Neodiprion lecontei: one gene and its partner. The protein of the gene in region 1 purifies or fractionates together with the protein of each later gene. This does not show direct contact. Links are inferred from orthologs where the notes say so. Each region holds a gene or a part of one and is shown in the gene's direction. Other genes may lie near its edges.

Region 1 (3,755 bases):
TTGGTTCGTGATGAATGTTAAGTGAGTTTGAATTATACTGTGTTATTAGAATGGACTTCTATTAATTCTAAAGTCTTCAAGTATTAGAAGTGTAGTAGTTAGTTAATAGTTTACTGGTGAAAAATAGTGGTACTCTGTAATTCAGTATTAATACAAAAGGCCCCAATAACCTCACAATAGGTATAGTATCAAAGACCAGCCGAAGTTATTCTTAAAAGTTCAGCTGACTGTCGTTCTAGACTTCGCTGGAACAAAATATTTTGAGGCAAAATTCTGGTGTGAAAGGCAACCAAGTAAATACGTCAAATTTCCAGTAAAGCTAATATAGTATCCATTTCAATTTGTCAAATGGTTCCTACCGTGACTGTTAAATAAACTGAAAAACATACTGAAAGTCTGTACGGCAAGTTGTTTCAAGGTATTATCGGTCAATTAGGAACACGAATTAGTACTTCCCTCGGGTTGATCCGAAGGTCGGAAGCCTATTATAAGGGGATAATATGGAGTCAGAAAAAATGTGTAACTAGTAGCAGGCATCGAAATCTTGCAATCGATACGTACACCATTAGAAATGTGACGCGTTAATTATTATTGCAGAATCTAGTGGATATTTACTAAGATTGCGCTGGTTACGGTACAAAAATTGTAGGATGCGTTTTGACCGATAATCTACTCAATTACATAAGCTTCAGTGATTATTGAAAATTCATGTACCGGTGATAAAGAATTAGTTCTGAAATATGTATCAAGCCTGATTGTTGTACATTCTTTAACTTCTCTATTACAAGATAGTAAATTGATGAATATTACGAGTAATGTTTTACGTTGTAAAAATATAAATACATTTGCACTGTGACGTAATAATTTTTTTCAGGTAGGTACAGAATATTAAGAATTATCTTGAGTGCTCAATCATCTATAAATCGTAAGAAATTCCAATCGATATTGTTCTTAATCGATGAACGGAGAATCAGGAATTTGAAAATCAGCGCCGTAGGACAAAATTCGTAGACGTTCGTTATGGCGGATATCTATAAATGTACCACCTGCGCAGAAGAGAGGCGCGTCGATATGCGCAACTTCATCAAAGTGTATTGGTCCAGGACAATTCGTGCTTTAAGTTCCGAGGGGTATTACCTGTGGGCTGCGAGCTACAGTCAGGTTGTAAAGATAAAAGTGAGGGGTGCGTTTCGAAGCTTTTTTTTGTCGAATGTTCCGATTGACAGCTGCAAATCTTGACAGAATTTTATACTCTAGCTAACGCAAATAAATCACACTATTAGCGCAGAAAAGAGGTTGTGCAGTTGAGTTACGGCGATCATGTCTCAAGACGACGATGTAGGATTTTTATACAAAACAATGAGTGAGTACCTGTTCTAGACCTGCGTCTGTTATTGTCAATGATCCAGGCAATCTGCAATGTGTACGAACGTGTCTATAGTTCATTCACCATACATTCATTATAGTTGTGATACGTCGTGTTATTGCTTCGAAATTTAAATAGACGACAGCATTTAGAGAACGTGGTTTATTATCCACGCAACCGTATATTGCGTTTTATAACTCGCTATCGAGTGTGCGAATGATCTGTAATTGAAGGTATCAAAATACAATCGAACTATTATCTTATTTACAAGGAGTAACGTTACTTTTTGGAATCGTGTAGAATGGTGTCAACGCGAGCTGGGAATAAATCGAAATAGGGTGGCGATTTAAGTTTCCAAAAATAATTGCATACGCGGATAACTATAGAACGATCAAAAACGCGAACGGCAAATCATTTCGCACGTAAATTTCGGGTGCACAACGTGTGGCGTCAACCGGCGTTTTGCGAAGTCAATGAACGCAGCGTGACATGTGCCGGTAAACGATGGCGATACGCACGCATGAATGTCGGATCGTGGTATGCATGCATCACAGAGTTTGATACGTGCACAGAAACACGCACACTGTCACATAGCGTGCGAAACGCGTGAGGGGTGGTGATTCTACGACAAGTCTTGACAGCAGTGGGGGGGATATTTAGGGATTTAGGGATTCAGGGGAAAATCTGCCTCGATACATAAACCGGAGTGCGAAGTGGGAACCACCGCCAAGCCAAGCATTCGGGCTATGAATCGTGTAAAACGGGGTGGCAGATGAAAGAGAAATTATTATTCTCGGCGCGTTATTTTTGCTCCGATTCCCATTGAATGTGATATCGGTATAGTGTCAGGTCCGTTTTTAAACACGATGAGTAGTTCATGTGAGTATTCCAGCATTAAAGTCCGACACATAACCTATACTAACCTTTTTCCTTGCGTGCTCAAATTTTTTGGTGTCATTTTACGATAATGTCGTTTGTTTTCACGACGTGGAAATCAGGTAGAATAACTAGAAAAAATATCCAACTTGTATCCGTATTCATCAATTTTTCAATTCTTTCTCCAAAGTTGAACGTGATCCAAAGAAAAGACGAGTCAAACCCGTCGATTCGGCCCAACAATCATTGCTTGATTTCGATTTGGGCGAGAGTTCGGATGACAGCGATTTCAGAATCGAAGATCATTGTGAGGAGTCAGACGACGATTCCGTTGACTCTCACGATGTTGGAAAAGGTAGGCAAAGCTACATATTTTCAACTTTAGAACAACGCAAAAGTGTTTAGGACAACTGCTAATCTTTTACTTCCTCTTCTTCAGATGAAGACGACGATGAATCAGAAGAGACCGATGATTCTCTCGAAGAACCTTTGGTTCGCGGAAAAGGGATTGGTGGGATGACGGTCTGTGATGTGATTGAACAAGCACGGCAACAAGCTGCCAAAGCTGGCCAATTCGATGAAAAAGTTGCTAAAGTTTTGATCTGTTGCGGTTGTTTGGGAGACAGAAGCGACGATATTAATGAAATTGTTGAGTGCGATGGATGTGGGGTCACTGTTCACGAAGGTAATTATTAACTTGTATTTATTTTATAGGTATCAATAGGTACCAGACTTTATTACACATCTTTGACACTTTAAACGAACCATAAATGTTTGAAATCTAACAAGAATTAATAGATATGTCTGAGCATTGTTTGCTCTGAATTGCATGAAAGCGTGAGCCACATTATGACTGGACGGATTGATCATTACTACTACGAATTTTTTATCCTCCACACAGGCTGCTATGGCGTTTCCGATGTTGAGAGCTTTTCTAGCACCGATTCACTTTGCCAGTCAGCACCATGGTTCTGCGAAGCTTGTAGTGCTGGTGTTGACGATCCTTCGTGTGAACTCTGCCCCAATAAAGGTGGAATTTTCAAAGAGACCGACGTCGGGAAATGGGTTCATCTTGTATGCGCCTTGTACGTTCCTGGGGTTGCTTTTGGAGAGGTAAGACACTGTCTTGTCATTTATACCAATGATAGATTAAGGAGCATAGTGTTTTAGATCTACACATTGTGTAGTAGATAGTTTTAATGCAAAGTTCTATAGTAAAATATATAAACTTTGATATTCCGCGCTATTGAACAAAATTTTGTTACTTAAATGCAATGCAGATATAAAAAATTTCGAAAAATTCTGATTCTTTCCAGTGTTTCAGTGTAAGAACCCTTGAATTTGTTGAGTGTAATTATTTTAAATCTTTGTTTCCATCTTGATTGGCATTGAAATTATTGTCAGTATTAAATAATCAGGAGATTCGTATCAATCATGTGATTAAAATAGGTGGACCGTCTGGCAAGTGTAACATTGTTTGAAATGGCATACAGCAAATGGGGAGCGAAGCAGT
Region 2 (3,755 bases), on another chromosome or scaffold:
TGGTAGATGGCCCAGTAGGGAGGGAAATGTAACACGTAGGTAAACTATTTAATATAATTTTACAAACGTGTATTATTGAACAGAAGATGGCTATGTTGAAACTTGTACAATCTGCTTTATTCGCGTCGGCGTCAAACAAGCTTGTGCAAGCAAATTTTAACTGCACCACAAAGAGTATGTTGTGATAGAGGGGCGGGATTTACTCCGTTCGGCAATTTGATCAATTGTGCTAAATTTTTCGCCTACAGGAGGTGCATCGGACTACAGTCATAATCTATGACTATGGTAGCACAAAAATAAGCTTTTCACGAACGAACACAGAAGCAGCGCCATGTTTTCATGATTCAAAAATTGAATTATGTAAAACGATAATCGAGATACCAAGATAAGTTTCCACAATATAATCACTTTAGTTGTGTTATTAACCCTGTAACTCGTCATAAGTGGTATAAAGTAAAGATTGAATTAATTTGCTTTATGCCAATTACAGGGTAGAAAAATTCAGAATTGATGAGCCGCGTAGACTTAAAATCTTTGGGATCGATGAATTATCGGAGACTCACTTTGATCTATCTCTAGACGATGTGTGATCTCGTGAATTTTTTCGTGATATTTCTCTAGATCTTCTAGAAGATCTGGAACGATCTTTTCCTTTGTCGTGCATCACTATGTGTGCACAGGATTTCATTTCGTGAATGTTATTTAAAACAAATCTAAATTTAATCACGTCGACTGAAGGCGTTACTGAAGGAGTGAAGATCATAACAAATAAAATCGAACAAACGACATTCAAACGAGGCATTCATTTACCAGCCGTGGATTAGGGGGCGCTCTTTTTTCCATTCAATTCAACCGTTTTTACGTCATGCGTTTGGTCAACAGTCCTTCTTGCCAAGGTTCGTGGCTGAGACGTAAAAAAAATTGAAATCATAACCTCAAAGAAGCGTCATTTCGAGTTCTTTTTGACGAGCATTAAATAATAACAGCATTGCGCGTTATTTATGGAAATAATAGAGCCGAGATTGCAAGGCTTGCGAAGTGTCAGTTTTCGAAGTCTGGTTTTTGTCGAGCTGTTTTTAGGGATTGTATGCAAAGAGGAAGAGCAGGCGGATTTTTGTAAACAAATATCTCTGAGAGTGAGTGATTGAAAAATTCTCAATTACTCAACGATCTTGTTGGCAGTTTCTTTTCTTTGAATTCAAAAAACGCATTGTTCGTCACCTGGATCTCGACATGTTTCGATCCATCTTCAATCCGATATGCGTCTATGATTATTAATTAGCTTGAGAATATCGAAGAATGAGTGAAACTGCTGTTACCAACGAAATGGTCGAACTAAATGGAGGGTCAGCGCAACCTGCCCTCAATGGAGAAGCTGAGAACAGTGAGTACCATCTGTAATAACACAGCGCTTTGAAAAATACCAGCCACCTGTGAATATTGAATTTCCGTACTACCAACATCTGACTTCACATTGTTCATGATTTTTTATCCTCCTTCTTCACAGACAAATCACCTGGAACTGTAGAAGACAAAGTTCCTGACTCTGGTGTAGATAGCGACCAAAAAAAAGGCCAAACTGCCGTCGTCGCCAGTAGCGGTACAGCTTCCGTTAGTAGGGGTAAAAAACGGAAAAAGGCTCCTCGTGATGCAACGGCACCCAAACAGCCACTGACTGGATATTTTCGGTGAGAATCTTTGACTTGCGCTGCCTACTCAGTTGTCTTTAGAAAGTCGGACACATTTCTTCTGGTTACTACGCAATAACCACTCAAACAATCTGCTGGCAAAGTTCAGTCGAAAGATGCTTTTACTTATTTTTGAATGGTGCCAAATTCTTTCTGTATCCTTCAGATTCTTGAACGATCGGCGAGAAAAGGTGAGGACTGAGAATCCTTCCATACCGTTTCCCGAGATTACTAAGATGCTAGCTGCGGAGTGGAGTTCACTACCGGTAGATCAGAAACAGGTGAGTTTTGAGAACCAAAAGTTGAACCTTGTTGACAACATTATTTTACAGCTAATTTCTGCAGCTTCCAGACTCTGAGGAAGATCATTTTTTTTGAACATTCATTCTGTGGTTGTTATAGCAATATCTAGATGCTGCTGAGCAGGACAAGGAACGTTACAACCGGGAGATCACTGACTACAAGCAAACTGAAGCATATCGTTTGTTTAGTGAAAAACAGAACAACGAGAAGCTCAGTGAGAATAAAAAAGAGAGAAACGGAACGGAACCAACCTTGGAACAAAATGTACGTATCATGCAGTACTGTCGTTAATTCAGTCTTTTTGAAATGACTTAATATTCTTTTTTAGGAAGTACAGCAAGAGAAGGATCACGATTTCTCTGGATTTGATATTCCAATTTTTACAGAAGAATTTTTGGATCATAACAAAGGTAATATCTCGAACATTTCAGCATATATTTATTGCATTATCCTAATACAAGACAATCCTCATATCAATTATTTTCCCTCAGCTTGCGAAGCTGAGTTGCGCCAGCTACGAAAAGCCACCTCCGATTATGAGGCTCAAAACGCAGTCCTTCAGCGCCATGTAGACAGTTTGCACGCTGCTGTCAATAGATTAGAGTCCGAAACAAGCCAGCAGCGTGCGACTAATCAATCGCTTCAGCGTCATCTCGACTCACTACGATCCCAATTAGCAGGGAGCTTTGCTACTATACCTTTACAAGGTAGTTTGATCCTAAAAAAAGATTATACAAACCATTGTGGCACCGCTTTCAGAACCTAATACTCCTGTACTGTAACCTTATCTATTTTCCCCATTGTTAGGCACTCACGACGGCGCTACCTTGCAGAATATCGACGGATATGTCGAGAGACTAGAATCTCTACTTAGCAGTAACGTAGATCCTGGACTGCGAAATACCGTTCGTGCCGCGGTATCACGCCTGGAGTTGATTGGATGACGGTCACCCCCTGTAACGACAACAGCAACGATCCCAATTACTACAAACTCTATAACGACCTTGAAACATCATCGCTCGCGTCATTCCCATCGAAAATGAGTTTATTGATGGAACTGAACCAAGTTGAACTCTATCAGTTTGGTAAAAATGATAAAAATCTTCCTATTCCTTGTTGAGTTGGAAGAAACGGAACTTCTGAGTAAAAGAATCGAGTCATGTAACCACTGTGGTAACGAGACACAGAGATACTGGGTGAAAATAAATCTAAATCATGAGAAGGACGTTCGACCACTTTATAAAAGAAGTGTGAGTAAACGCCCTATGTTGTATATAGCACTGCGAAAGTTCGCAATGATCATGTATTTGAATCGATAGCTTTAGATTAGCTCTTAAACGTACGTGTAAAGTGTAATTTAATTACTTGAGTTATGTAGAAGTGAGGGAGAAGAAAAAGTTATCTCTGAAACATTCAATTATTACTAGTATTTATATTTTGTTTTTTTTGTCTTCAATTTAATTAAACTTTCAGCTACGCAGCTCATTTTGGTTCAATTACTTGTTTCCCTTGAGGATTAAGTGTCGTATTATTTTTAACTGCAGTAATTACACGAAGCTGATTATCAAAATGGCTATAGATTTTATTTAATCTTACTTCGAATGATTGTATTATTCCATTTTGGTTTTCATAAATTGGCACGAAAAGGTTTTACTCTGAGAGTTATTATGGAATGTAAACTGCCAGAGATTTACAGAGTCTTGAGTATGATTTTGGGCTTAATCATTGTTAATTAAATGTGCAAATCATTAATATTGGTAGGAT

The links. Proteins that work in one complex are often made in the same cells at the same time.
Region 2: the proteins of PHD finger protein 14 (region 1) and high mobility group protein 20A purify together in Homo sapiens (affinity purification with mass spectrometry; 3 studies listed by BioGRID and IntAct, counting the BioPlex papers as one, with this or other methods). This does not show direct contact. The link is inferred for Neodiprion lecontei from reciprocal best matches to the Homo sapiens genes PHF14 and HMG20A.

Annotation. Positions count from the first base shown.
Region 1 is NC_060262.1:25,242,898-25,246,652, reverse strand, and holds the start of PHD finger protein 14, read left to right. Parts: upstream 1-1,129; 5' UTR 1,130-1,320; coding exon 1,321-1,363; intron 1,364-2,078; exon of another isoform or gene 2,079-2,232; coding exon of another isoform or gene 2,233-2,245; intron 2,246-2,432; coding exon 2,433-2,597; intron 2,598-2,681; coding exon 2,682-2,927; intron 2,928-3,143; coding exon 3,144-3,355; intron 3,356-3,691; coding exon 3,692-3,755. UniProt on the Homo sapiens protein: Histone-binding protein. Binds preferentially to unmodified histone H3 but can also bind to a lesser extent to histone H3 trimethylated at 'Lys-9' (H3K9me3) as well as to histone H3 monomethylated at 'Lys-27' (H3K27ac) and trimethylated at 'Lys-27' (H3K27me3).
Region 2 is NC_060263.1:14,866,030-14,869,784, forward strand, and holds high mobility group protein 20A, read left to right. Parts: upstream 1-710; 5' UTR 711-1,299; coding exon 1,300-1,384; intron 1,385-1,507; coding exon 1,508-1,688; intron 1,689-1,854; coding exon 1,855-1,969; intron 1,970-2,090; coding exon 2,091-2,255; intron 2,256-2,319; coding exon 2,320-2,401; intron 2,402-2,482; coding exon 2,483-2,698; intron 2,699-2,798; coding exon 2,799-2,935; 3' UTR 2,936-3,471; downstream 3,472-3,755. UniProt on the Homo sapiens protein: Plays a role in neuronal differentiation as chromatin-associated protein. Acts as inhibitor of HMG20B. Overcomes the repressive effects of the neuronal silencer REST and induces the activation of neuronal-specific genes.